2 linked regions of the Diceros bicornis minor genome follow. The protein of the gene in region 1 binds, or shares a complex with, the protein of each later gene. Links are inferred from orthologs where the notes say so. Each region holds a gene or a part of one and is shown on either strand. Other genes may lie near its edges.

The links. Proteins that work in one complex are often made in the same cells at the same time.
Region 2: the proteins of SIAH1 (region 1) and CACYBP are in contact, whole or in part, in a crystal structure (PDB 2A25), measured with the Homo sapiens proteins. The link is inferred for Diceros bicornis minor from reciprocal best matches to the Homo sapiens genes SIAH1 and CACYBP. Residues at the interface, in NP_003022.3 of Homo sapiens: Leu158, Gln159, Asp162, Ile163, Val164, Phe165, Leu166, Ala167, Thr168, Val176, Asp177, Trp178, Val179, Met180, Asn276; in NP_055227.1 of Homo sapiens: Lys59, Pro60, Ala61, Ala62, Val63, Val64, Ala65, Pro66, Ile67.

Annotation. Positions count from the first base shown.
Region 1 is NC_080771.1:2,321,144-2,327,331, reverse strand, and holds the start of SIAH1 (E3 ubiquitin-protein ligase SIAH1), read left to right. Parts: upstream 1-1,950; 5' UTR 1,951-2,461; coding exon 2,462-2,561; intron 2,562-5,361; coding exon 5,362-6,188. UniProt on the Homo sapiens protein: E3 ubiquitin-protein ligase that mediates ubiquitination and subsequent proteasomal degradation of target proteins.
Region 2 is NC_080743.1:91,513,292-91,519,479, forward strand, and holds the start of CACYBP (calcyclin-binding protein), read right to left. Parts: upstream 3,350-6,188; 5' UTR 3,204-3,349; coding exon 3,183-3,203; intron 2,338-3,182; exon of another isoform or gene 2,289-2,337; intron 1-2,288. UniProt on the Homo sapiens protein: May be involved in calcium-dependent ubiquitination and subsequent proteasomal degradation of target proteins. Probably serves as a molecular bridge in ubiquitin E3 complexes. Participates in the ubiquitin-mediated degradation of beta-catenin (CTNNB1).

The DNA.
Region 1 (6,188 bases):
GTCATTTATGAAAGGAAGCAAAGGTTCTCACATGAAATTGAGAATAAAAGTTTATAAGTCCATCTCCTTCTACTGTTAAGTATATTAATGTGGCAAAGCATGGTTAAATGCTCTGAAATTACTAAGACAACGTTAAAGGCTGATTCTAAAATGTTTTGATTTAGATTAAAATCTATTTAAACTTTATACCAAACTGGGCTTGAGATGTAGGCTTTAGAAAGTGTAGATAATGGTACACTCTTGCCAAAATTTGAGTTTTTGCTAACTTTGGGATCTATGGGCTTGTCTTAATGTAATGTAGTTTTTGTGAAATTTTCAGCTCTTTGTAAAACCAGTGTAAGTAAATTTCTATCTAGTCGAGAAATTCTGTTAAGGTTTATTATGCTAAAAATTAGGTAAATGGCAGTTGATCTTTGGCAGACATGTTTGATCATTTGTACAAGCTCAAGGCATTTTTTAGAGTGTGTATCTGGAACCCACAAGTTCTAGCTCTCTAAGTAGTTGATGACCTCAGGCAGAGCAGGAAACTTTCAGAGGTCTCAGGTGAATACTTACTTATTTTGGAGTATGTACCACCTATGATATACATAAATTACCCATCTCCCTTAATCCAGACAAAAGCCACGGGAGGCGGGAAATATTGTGCCAGTTTTAAAGCTGAGGAGGTGGTGAAGACTGGGTTTGAATCCAAGTGTAGATGACTCTAGAACACCCGCACTTTTACCGTCCTGACTCACTTTTGGTAAGTTGAGAGGTTTGTCCATAGATTAATGATTTTCAGACGGTGCTGTAAGGCTCTGTGCTGACCCTTTGAAAGTCTGGGAAAAAATGAAATATTTTTTTGCTCGAGGAATCAGTTATCCCCCCTTGTTTTATGCATGTGGCTTCTGTCTTAATTCTCTTTGGAAAGAATTTCTCTGCCTAAAACATTTGAAGTCTCCTGCGCTAGAAACCAGAGGCACATCTAGAATGAATATGTATTAGAAAATAAAAACGTAGGTGATAGTAGTTTATATTTGTCAATGGACAGACTGTATCTGTTTTCAATTATATTTCTATTCCTAATGATACTTTGTGTAGCCTAATATTAAGATGAGGTCAAGGTGATTGAACAAACTATTAATAGGGTGGGGATGTGATTAGAGTTAAAATTTGATACTGAAAGTGGGTAATCTACAGTTTCCTGCACTGGGCTCACTCCCCACACCAGCTCTTGCTGCGTTTAAAGGCTGCCCTAAGCATGATGTCATGACGAGTTAAACCTCTGAATGCACTAGCTGAGGCGATGCAAATCTGAGACCCAGGATTTGATTGGGGCAAGGGTATTGCTTGTTTAAAAACAAAACAAGCTGCTCTATTTAATGAGGCCATTTAAGATGGCTTTCCCAGAGAGAGAATATAATCTCAATTTGGAGGTTAAAGTAGGAGTTTAATATGGTTATGTGTGTTTACTTCTCTCACTGCAAAGTCTTTTCGGAGAGAAGGGGAGTTTAAAATATGGTGCCGACGGGTAGAAATGGAAAAGTGAGTTAGAATTGAGGAAATACAGTAGTTGACGCCCCGTAAATAGTTACTGAATGAAGTGGGGAGAATGCTTTTACTCTATAAAAAGTTAAGAGTTCGCACGGTTTATCAGCAGGGTATAGTGCAGAGAAGAGCGCTTGTGTGGCCACATGTTTCCTAGACTCTCTGTAGTTCTTGGGTTGAAACCGTACGCAATTGCCGATATCCGACTATTTCGGCCTTCAAAAATGGCATGTTTCGTCCTAAATGTATGCTGGTGGAATGCTGAGGCGTGCACAATGTCGCTGGGGTAGGGGTTTTGCCCCGCTGGGTGGGAGTCGCACAAGGTGGGGCCCGGGTGCTGCGCTGGGCCGGTGGGGTGGAGCTTGCTGGCCCCTGAGCCCTGCCCCTCCCGCCGGCCCCGCCCCGCGCCGGGCGGGCGGCAGTGCCTTGGGCGCCGCAGTGAGGCCGGCTGGCGCTCCCGGTTGGAGCAGGCCTTCCCAGTTGCGACCCGGCTCCAGCTCCCGCTCCAAACGGACCTCCTGGCGGGCCGGACCCTGCAGTAGCTCCAGAGCCGCCTCGGAGAGCGCGCCTCCTCCCCCCGCCGCCGCACACTCTGCAGCCGCGTCCTTCACCAGAGCTGGCCGGAGCCTAGCTGATGAATCTGGGGACGACAGACTTCCAAGACAGACCGAGGTTTAGGGCCCAGCAGAGGATAGCTCAGCGATGGCTCCCATTTTTGGAGACGCAGGCAAATTTGAGCTCCCGGGAAGGTGTGGTCGACTCCTCTGTCTTTGCCTCCGTAGCCCGTGCTTCTGCAGAGTGAATGGAGTGTCTGGAGCAGGGCCCTGACCGTCGCTTCTTGGCAGCGGACATGCTTAGGAAGGTGTCCAGGAAGGGCCTCTGTTACAGATTGTCTTTGCTTCTGGGGCAGCGGCTATGAGTTGCCCGATTTCCAATGACCGGGAAGTCCGGGAAGTCTGCCTTACCTTTTCTGTGCTCCTGGAGGGGCATCTTGCTCACTTGTTTACCAGCAGCTGGGACAAGGAAGAGAAAAGGTATTGACATTAAGAGACTGGTTGGGGCCCGCCCGGTGGCGCAAGGGGTTCAGCGCCCGCGCTCCGCTGCCGAGGCCCGGAGTTCACCGGGTCGGATCCCACACCGAGGCACTGCTTGGCAGGCCATGCTGTGGTGGCGTCCCATAAGGAAGATGGGCACGGATGTTAGCCCAGGGCCAGTCTTCCTCAGCAAACAAAGAGGAGGATTGGCAGATGTTAGCACAGGGCTGATCTTCCTCACAAAAAAAAAAAAAAGAGAGAGAGACTGGTTGCTTAAACTGTGAAACGGGACAAAGTTGTTGTAAGCCAGGGGAATCTGACTGGATCAGGGAATAGCTGCAGCATAATTGAGCTCACAGTGACGTTTCTTTTGATCTGCTGTACTTTTCTCAGTTTAAATCAAATTTCACGTTATGTCATGACTTCTGCAGGGTTGTCCAAAGACACTTGAGTCCTTGGTTCCTACTGCAGGGCTGCTGTGTGGTTGGGATTCTTTTTCTGTTTGAAGATGGAGCTAGGTTCCCACCTCTGGAGCTTTGGGAGGTTTTAGCAGCTGCTCTCTTGTAATACCTCCATTCACAAGAAATATTGGCTACATGTCACTTGTTTTCACACTTTGAATAGGAATTTAAATTGTGCTTTCTAGAATGTTTGGAAAAATAAGAAAGATACATTGTAACATGAGCCTGAACTATTGATGATAAACATATAACTGTTTTGCTAGGTCAAGAAATTAAAGTGTTTTTCTTGCTTAGTAAGTTACATTATGTTGATTTGATTACAAACTGAGTTTACTGCCCCTCCATGTGATTAGCTGTTTTGGTTTAGTGATTTGAAAGGCATTGGTGGCTTAGACTGTTTTGTGCTCAAGGAGCCACTTTCCATTTATTATGTTTGCTCACTTCAGTGAGCAGCATAAAATGGACCATGAAATAGACATACAGCATACATACAGGGCGTTTGGGCAATGCTGACCCATTGTTTTACAAGTGACCTAAAATGATGGATCATCATATGCACAAAGAATCTCCTCAGGGGGAAGCTGGATTACAAGAGAGTACCTTTATAGTCTCTTTGTTGGGCTAGGACACCTGTGGTGTACAGGGCTTCGATGATGGGAACTGATTCGTGTGCTCCATGTGATGAGCTACATTATGGTGGAATTCTGCTGTACTTTTGTTTCCCTTTGAACTTTAGAGAGAGTGGAATTTATCTTTTTTTTCTCTTTGCATCCTCAACCCCCATTTAAGGTGTGTATCCTTGAGTAATCTAGAACTCAGATTGTATTTACATGGTCACATTGGTAACCAGCATTGTTTTTTGAAAGTTAAATTCTTTGAAACAGAATAACAATTATAATTGAGAAAACATTAAATTTGAGGCATTAAATTTTAATTTTGTGGAAATATGGCTTATATAGTTACTGGGAGTACACTCCTGGACATCGACTGCTCTTTTGTCACCCCCCAGATAAACAGTGGCCTGCCGTATCCCAGCAAAGGTAGATTCCTGGGAAAAGGTGCTTGTGTCATCTTTCCTTCAGTCTGACAAGTTAGTTACATTGTTGATCATTCCTTCCAGATGACATTTCTCTCTTAAATAATAATGTTTATTACTGTGCTGATGAACGCTCCAGCAACATTGGTGAACTCTAGGGTACAAGGAATTCTTTAGCTGTTGACTCTTTCCCTGAGCTCCAATGTTGTGAGTGTGTGTCTGGTGCTTTTATATTTATTCTTTTTTTTTCCTTCTTGAGGAAGATTTGCCCTGAGCTAGCGTCTGTTACCAATCTTCCTCTTTTTTTGCTTGAGGAAGATTGTTGCTGAGCTATCATCCGTGCCCATTTTCCTCTATTTTGTATATGGGACACGACCACAGCATGGCTTGATGAGCAGTGTGTAGATTCAGGCCTGGGATCGGAACCTGCGAACCCTGGCTGCTGAAGTGGAGTGCGTGAACTTAACCACTATGCCACAGGGCTGGCCCCTGTCTTCCTTATTTACCTTCTTTTCCTTGCTTTCCTTCTCCTTTGCAAATTATATCTGATTTATATTAATGGAATGGAAGTAGACTAGAATGATTTACTTTCTCTAAGTACCAGACTAAAAACTTTGAGGATGGCCCTCCATTTCTCTTGTCCCTCTTTTGAGGGAGGTACTGATCAGTAGGAAACAAGATTAATACCCAGCTAATGTTAAGGAGCTAGAGGATGAAGATGGAGGATGGCAGCAGGCCCTTCCCCTTGCGATGCCCTCCATTCCCCAAATATGCCTCTAGAGCAGATAACTGTTCACCATTAAGAGGAATTAATCAAAGTCAACTCCCTGGGGATCCTTTGGATCACTTACAAGGCCCTGTAGCTTTCAACAGCTGACACAGAATGGGAAAGAAATAGACTGAGTAGGGAAATTGAACACAGGGAGGAGAAAGTCCAATCAAAATTGACTTGATTGAACTTAAGCTTAGTTGTTTCTGGTCCAGTTTCTCTTTCAGCATTTATTCCATGTAGTCCATCCAGGGACAATTTTTAACATTTTTTTAAGAAAGGGAATTCTAAATGTGTTCTGGAACATTTTGAAAAGAGATTTTATCCAGTGTACAACTCCTAATAATCAAAATGTATATTTTATGTCATTTATATGTTTTTTAACCTATTTATTTTCCTTTATTCTTTTGCTCACAGTAAATTTTGCATGGAGCTTCAGTATTTCTGGCATGTAAACATTATTTATAAAATAAGTTATAGTTGTAATTATTTTTCTCCTGCCTCCTTTTATTTTTATTCATGTTTTTATTACAGAAATGAGCCGTCAGACTGCAACAGCATTACCTACTGGAACCTCAAAGTGTACACCGTCCCAGAGGGTGCCTGCCCTGACTGGCACAACTGCGTCCAACAATGACTTGGCGAGTCTTTTTGAGTGTCCGGTCTGCTTTGACTATGTGTTACCACCCATTCTTCAATGTCAGAGTGGCCATCTCGTTTGTAGCAACTGTCGCCCAAAGCTCACATGTTGTCCAACTTGCCGGGGCCCATTGGGATCCATTCGCAACTTGGCTATGGAGAAGGTGGCCAATTCAGTACTTTTCCCTTGTAAATATGCCTCTTCTGGATGTGAAATAACTCTGCCACACACAGAAAAAGCAGACCACGAGGAGCTCTGTGAGTTTAGGCCTTATTCCTGTCCGTGCCCTGGTGCTTCCTGTAAATGGCAAGGCTCTTTGGATGCTGTGATGCCCCACCTGATGCATCAGCATAAATCCATTACAACCCTGCAGGGAGAGGATATAGTTTTCCTTGCTACAGACATTAATCTTCCTGGTGCTGTTGACTGGGTGATGATGCAGTCCTGTTTTGGCTTTCACTTCATGTTAGTCTTGGAGAAACAGGAAAAATACGATGGTCACCAGCAGTTCTTTGCAATTGTACAGCTGATAGGAACACGCAAACAAGCTGAAAATTTTGCTTATCGACTTGAGCTAAATGGTCATAGGCGGCGATTGACTTGGGAAGCAACTCCTCGATCTATTCATGAGGGAATTGCAACAGCCATTATGAATAGTGACTGCCTAGTCTTTGATACCAGCATTGCACAGCTTTTTGCAGAAAATGGCAATTTAGGCATC
Region 2 (6,188 bases), on another chromosome or scaffold:
TTAGAGAGACTGTGAGAAAATTAATGGTCTTAAAAATGTTTTCCCAGTTATCCTGTCATACTGCAAAATGCATAAGATCTTTATAAACAAGGTATTCCTTTTTCTTAAAATAACTTTACATTCTGGCTTGATACTAGCAATCTGACAGGAAGACTCTTACATCACAGCCTGAGATCACACGAAAGGCTCAATATAAAAATCTTCAAATGCTTGATAACTCAGTATAATATCCTAAACACTGAGTTTGAAAGTCTTTGTTTCTTTTTTTTTTGTTTTTAACAATTTATTTATTTATTTATTTTCCCCCCAAAGCCCCAGTAGATAGTTGTATGTCATAGCTGCACATCCTTCTAGTTGCTGTATGTGGGACGCGGCCTCAGCATGGCTGGAGAAGCGGTGCCTCAGTGCACGCCCGGGATCCGAACCCGGGCCGCCAGCAGTGGATCTCGAGCACTTAACCGCTAAGCCACGGGGCCGGGCCTTTGTTTCTTAATAGTCTTATAAAATGCAGTAACAGAAAAACGAATGCTTTTCTTTTACCCAAGCCTTATATTATCTCATTTAACTGAGATGCCCTGTTTCACCTGTCTGCAACTGATAACATAGTACAGAATCCAACTGGGCCCAGTCTACTGTCCATACTCTACGCCCTCCCCCAAAATCATATTACTAAGACGAAAATAATTACAAACTCATCTTTTGAGCATAGAACCAAGATGCTTTAGTTCAAAGCAATCTTTTTTATTATAATGGTTTTAAAAAATTCACATTGATTCTAATACCAACATGATAAAAGTAATGAAATGTAAAATGAGTATACCTGTTCCTAGAGTTAAAAAAAGAAAAGAAAGGAAAATGTATCAAGTCTAAACAAGGCGTTTTACTTCTTGACTAGAACAGGAATCCTTTCTGTTGGAGATTCAGAAAAGAACTCAGAATGAAGCACGAGATTCCCAGGCCCCCTTTCTGGCCAGTTTTGGCTCTGAAGTAGTACACCAGCGAGGTCTTACAGCAGGCCTGGTTCAGGTAACTCCTCTGTTCTGTTACTGGCAGACCTGAAACCAGTAAGAGCGATCCCTCTGGTGCTTTTCCTGCACACACACTTTAAGAGCTCTTAGCTACAGCAGTTTCTCATCTAACTGATCTTGGCATTCATCTGTTTTCCTTATGCAAACTGCATTTCCCTTTCCACAAACATTCAAGCTTTATCGTCTAATCTATTTACAAATTCTTCACTAGAAGGCATTAAAACCAAAGTGCTCTGAAATGGGCAAAGGTCTTAGACATTTCTCCAAAGATACATACAATGGCCAGCAAGCACATGAAAAGATACTCAACATTAGTAGTCATTAAGGAAATGTACATCAAAACCACAGTGAGCTACCACTTCACACTCACCAGGATGGCTAACGTCAACAACAAAATACAAAATCCCAGAAAATAATAAGTGTTGACAAGCATGTGCAGAAATTGGAACCTTCATACATTGCTTGTAGAAATGTAAAATGGTGCAGCCATCTGGAAAAGAGTTTATCAGTTTCTGAGAGTTAGTTATCATATGCCCCTGCAATTCGACTCCTAGGTATAAACCTTAGAGAACTGAAAACATAACATTCACGTAAAAAGTCCTACACAAGTATTCCTGGCAGCATTGTTCATAATAACCAAAAAGTGGAAAGAATCCAAATGCCCATCAATGATGAATGGATAAACAAAATGTGCTAAATCCATACGATGGAATATTATTCAGCCATAAAAAGGAATACATGCCACACCATGGATGAACTTGAAAACATTATGCTAAGTGAAAGAAGGCAAAAAGCAAAGGCCACATATTCTAAGACTCCATATATACGAAGTGCCCAGAATAGGCAAACCCATAGAGACAGAATGTAGATTAGTGCTTGCTGGGGCGGGGGGAAGGGAAATGGGGAGTGACTGCTTAATGGACACTTAGGTTTCTTTTGGGGGTAATGAAATATTCTGTAGTTAGTGATGGTTGTGCAACACTATGAATATACTAAAAAGCACTAAATTGTACACTTTAAAATGGTTACAGTGAATTTTATCTAAAACACTCCCCCCCCAAGTGTCCCTAACTGTATATTTTTAAGTACCTCAATTGAGAAAGTCCCTTACTTGGAAGAAGATTAACACTGAGCTCCCCATAGGTATGACTGTCAAGTCACTTCAGAGATTCTTCCTCGGGGCCCATGGTAACCCAAGTCCTGTCTCTATCACAACAAACTCGTGGAAGTTATTCAGAATAATACTAAACACATACACACCTTTTCTTCATTTTAGGCAGCTTCTTAGATTTATTTGAGATTTCTCAGGCTTGTTCATATTGAGGAAAAAATTTCCAGAAAACAAATCCAGTTAATACACACCCAACACTTCACTGTGAATAAGTGTTAGGTATTGACAGGCTACTCAGGCCAGGAAGAGCGACGCAAGAATCATTATTCCCATTTTGTACCCGCGCAAACTACGTCTGCAAACAAGTTAAGCTGCCCCTGTTCAGAGTTCATCGAGCTTAAAAGAGAAAAAGACTATTTCCTACCGCTAGTTACAACTTTCCAATGTATTTACTTTTAAAAACGCATATAGCAGACTGCTCTGCGCCCAGCACTGTTTTCAACATTTACAACAAGCACTCCGTCCTTCTCACCCTCGGAAACGGATACTCCTGCGGCACGGCGCAGCACCGTCACCTGCCCAAAGTCACAGAGCTGGTCGTCCGTGTAGAGAAGACACGAGGAGAATCCAAGTGCTGGGACCCAAGACTGCTCACCTTCCCAGGGCTTCCCAGCACGCAACGACACCCAGGTTTGGCCATCAGCTTTAATTTAACGAGGCCCTCCGTCCTCGGGCCCGTATAACGGGAGCGGAAGGGCCCGAGGAAAACGCGACGGTGACCGGCGCGCTCCAGGCCACCAGCGGCACCGCCGGCGCCGAGGCTCACGACACACCCCCGTTCCCCACCCTCCGGAGGGCCCGCTGAGCGCGGGCCGGGGCCGAGCGGCGATTTTCCCGGGAAGCGGAGGCCCGCGGGGCCGGGCGGCACCACGCGCCGCTGCAGGTGCGCGAGCGAAGCGCGGGGACCCCCGGGGCAGCTCAGCACGGGCGGGGGCGCTGAGAGCCGCAGCAGGGCCGGGAGGAAGGCGAGGCCGGCCCCTTACCTCCTCCGGAGCTGAAGCCATGGCCGGGCTGGGTCACGCGAGGCCGGGGCTGCAGACGCACCAGGGAGAGCAGGAAACGCCGCCCCGAGCGCGCTCCGCCGAGCGCAGACCGCGGGCACGAGTCGCAGGGCTCGCAGCCTGTGCGCACACCCGACCCTGCGCGAGACCGCGGCCCGCCTCCCGCACGCGGCGCCTCTGGAACCTTCGCGAGCCCGTCGCCGCGCTTCCCCGCCCCCCGAGCGCCGCCCGCTGAGCTCAGCCCCGCCCAGCCGAGCCTGGCCCGCTCCGCCCGCCGAACCTCGTAGCAACGCTCAACTCTCGCGAGCAAACTGACAGTTCGAGAAGAGTAACGCCTCTTCCTCTCCGCCCCGGGAACTGAACGTTTAATACTTTGACCCCGTTTGCCCCGGCTGCGCAGTCGCAGCTCGGAACCACTGCCTTCCGTACCTTAACCCCACCCCGGAAGTAACGTACCGATCTTCGGGGTCCAAATCGGAAGTTGCCTAGAGAGGCGGCTGCTTCCGTCCCCTCTAGGACACCGGGCCAACGAGGCAGGCATTTTTGTCTGGGGGTAGTCTGTGAGCCTTTGCGAGGAAAGGACGAAATAAGGGGGAGCATGGGCAGCCTATTTATTTTAAAACGGGAACGAACGAGGACGTTAAGTGTGGGGGCTCCTTTGGTTTTTCAGTGGGTTCTGGCGCTCTGGAGACATCACCACGATTTAGCATCTGCGACGTGGCGGCGTCATCAAGGGCTGCGCTGGGAGGTGGGGTTGAGTTCGCTACGTGACCGGACCCCATGTCGCAGCCGAGGGTTAAGGTTTCCCGTACGAGGCGCCTCGCCCTCCGACGGTTATTGTGCTTCCGCCTTTCCCTCGTGACTGTCGAAGCCCCTCCCTGGTGCCTTCGCCCTCTTGACCAACTGTTCTGCGAGTCTCTGGTTCTCACCCGGGTTTGGATTCGTTTTAAGTGAGCCTGTTAGCATCAGAGAAAATGTGGGTTGAGTTTTCCCGGGCCTGCATTCTGCCCCCCTTCTGGTTCCAGCAGCCCCGCTTAGTAAGGCCCCTGAGAAACCCACTTTTCGGACCATTTTAGCCTTTTGCAGCCTCATGATTTCTGCAACATGGTTGAGAACATAAACAGTAATCTCTGAGAAGTCAGATAGCCTGCACTCAGCTTTATGTGTCACGCAAGATAGCGAGTAGGATCAGCAAGTCAGAGAAGGAAAAAGGCTACTAGGAAAATGCAGACTGACCGTTATCGTAGTAAAGAGGAATCAGAAGTACAGTACGAAAATAGTCAAATTACAGCCACACACAACGTGCCTGAATCTCACAAACATGACGTTCAAGGAAAGAAGCCAGACATAGAAAAGTACATATCGTTTGGTTCCATTTAAATGAAGTCTAAAAACAGTAAAACTAGCCTAGAGTGTTAAAAATCAGGATAGTCCTTCCTGGGGTGGGGAGGACCATGATAGAAAGGAGCCGCGAGGGAGCTTTTGAGGTTCAGATAATGTTCTGTTTCTTGAGTTGGATGCTGGTTACAGGTGTGTTCACTTTGTAGAAATTTCATTGTGCTGTAAACTTACATTTGTGTAGTTCCTTTTGTATGTTATGCTTAACTACAAGTTATTTAAGTAGGCCCAGGAGGGAATTTTCCCGAGATGATAGAAATGTTACACACACATACAGTTGTCAAAATTCATAGAATGAACTCCTAAGATCTGTGCTTTTATTGTATATTATATGTCAGTTTTTTAAAAAATGTCCACCGGAAAGCTTGGAATTATTTAGGTACTTAATAGGAACAAATATCCCATTGCACTGTGTGAAAGCTTGACCTAATGCAGTGATTTTGAAATTTGCTTGATTATGCACCTGGGGCAACTCCTCCCCCCACATATCCTAAAGTCATGAGATATGAAATACTGTTTATTATCCAGTGACTCCTGAATCTATATCTTCAGCTCCACTATGCTTCTGAGCTCCAGACTTGGCTTCTGCTTGGATGTAGAATGAGGAAATTCAGCTTGTCTAAAAAACAAAAAAAACTCCTCCTCCCAATTTTTCATCCTCGCACCCCAAATCAGTTCCTCCAATTCTTCTCCAGCTCTGTGCCTAGTCAGCTCGTGCTCGTTAACTGCTCATGCCAAGGAGTCATAAGTCTCAGTCTCAGGTCCTACCTCCCATCGTATAGCAAGTCTTGCTGGCTTTACCTTCAAAATATGTCTAGAAATCAAACCACTTCTCACAAGCTCCCCTGCTACCACCCAAGACCAAGCCAAACGTTGTATTCGCCTCATTAGTTAACGAGGGAACCAATAAGATGTTAAAACTGTTATCAAAGTGCCTTTGCAAAGCTGGGTACTTACAGACAATTTAACAATGGAATGTTAGTGTAAGGTTGTGAAGTTAGATACAAACTGGTTAATGTCCTACAGGGTAATAAACTACATATGACCTCTGGAGTTACCTCTTCCACTGGAAAGTAGAAATCTGCATCCCTCCTGTACCAACATCTGGAGGTTACCATGTAACTTCACTAAGTGTAGGACCTTGAATCAATAGTGAGCAGTGAGTTCCACTTCCTGTTCATGTCAAGACCACTCATGACCTCATAACTGCCAAATTCAGTAGATATTTTCTGAATAATTTGACTCCTTTACTTTTTACATAAAATTTCTCCTTTAGAATATCACATGGGCCAAAACAAGCTGTCTGTGGTCAGGGTTTGGGCCACCAACTGTAATTTTAGAATATCTGATTAATATTTTTTAAATATATGCTGAATTCTAAGAGGAGCTGACTAATCTCTTAGCTCTTACTTAGGTTTCATTCACTCTCAGAAAATGGAAATTAGAACAAAATGTGAATCAGGATTCTCTGTGCCCTGCCTCCGGCTCCATGAAGCCTCTGGAGTGCTGTCTGATTCTATGCTGTCACTGTGCTGTACCCTGAAAGACTAGCAGCAGACACCTAATGCAGGATTAGCCAATCAGATTTGT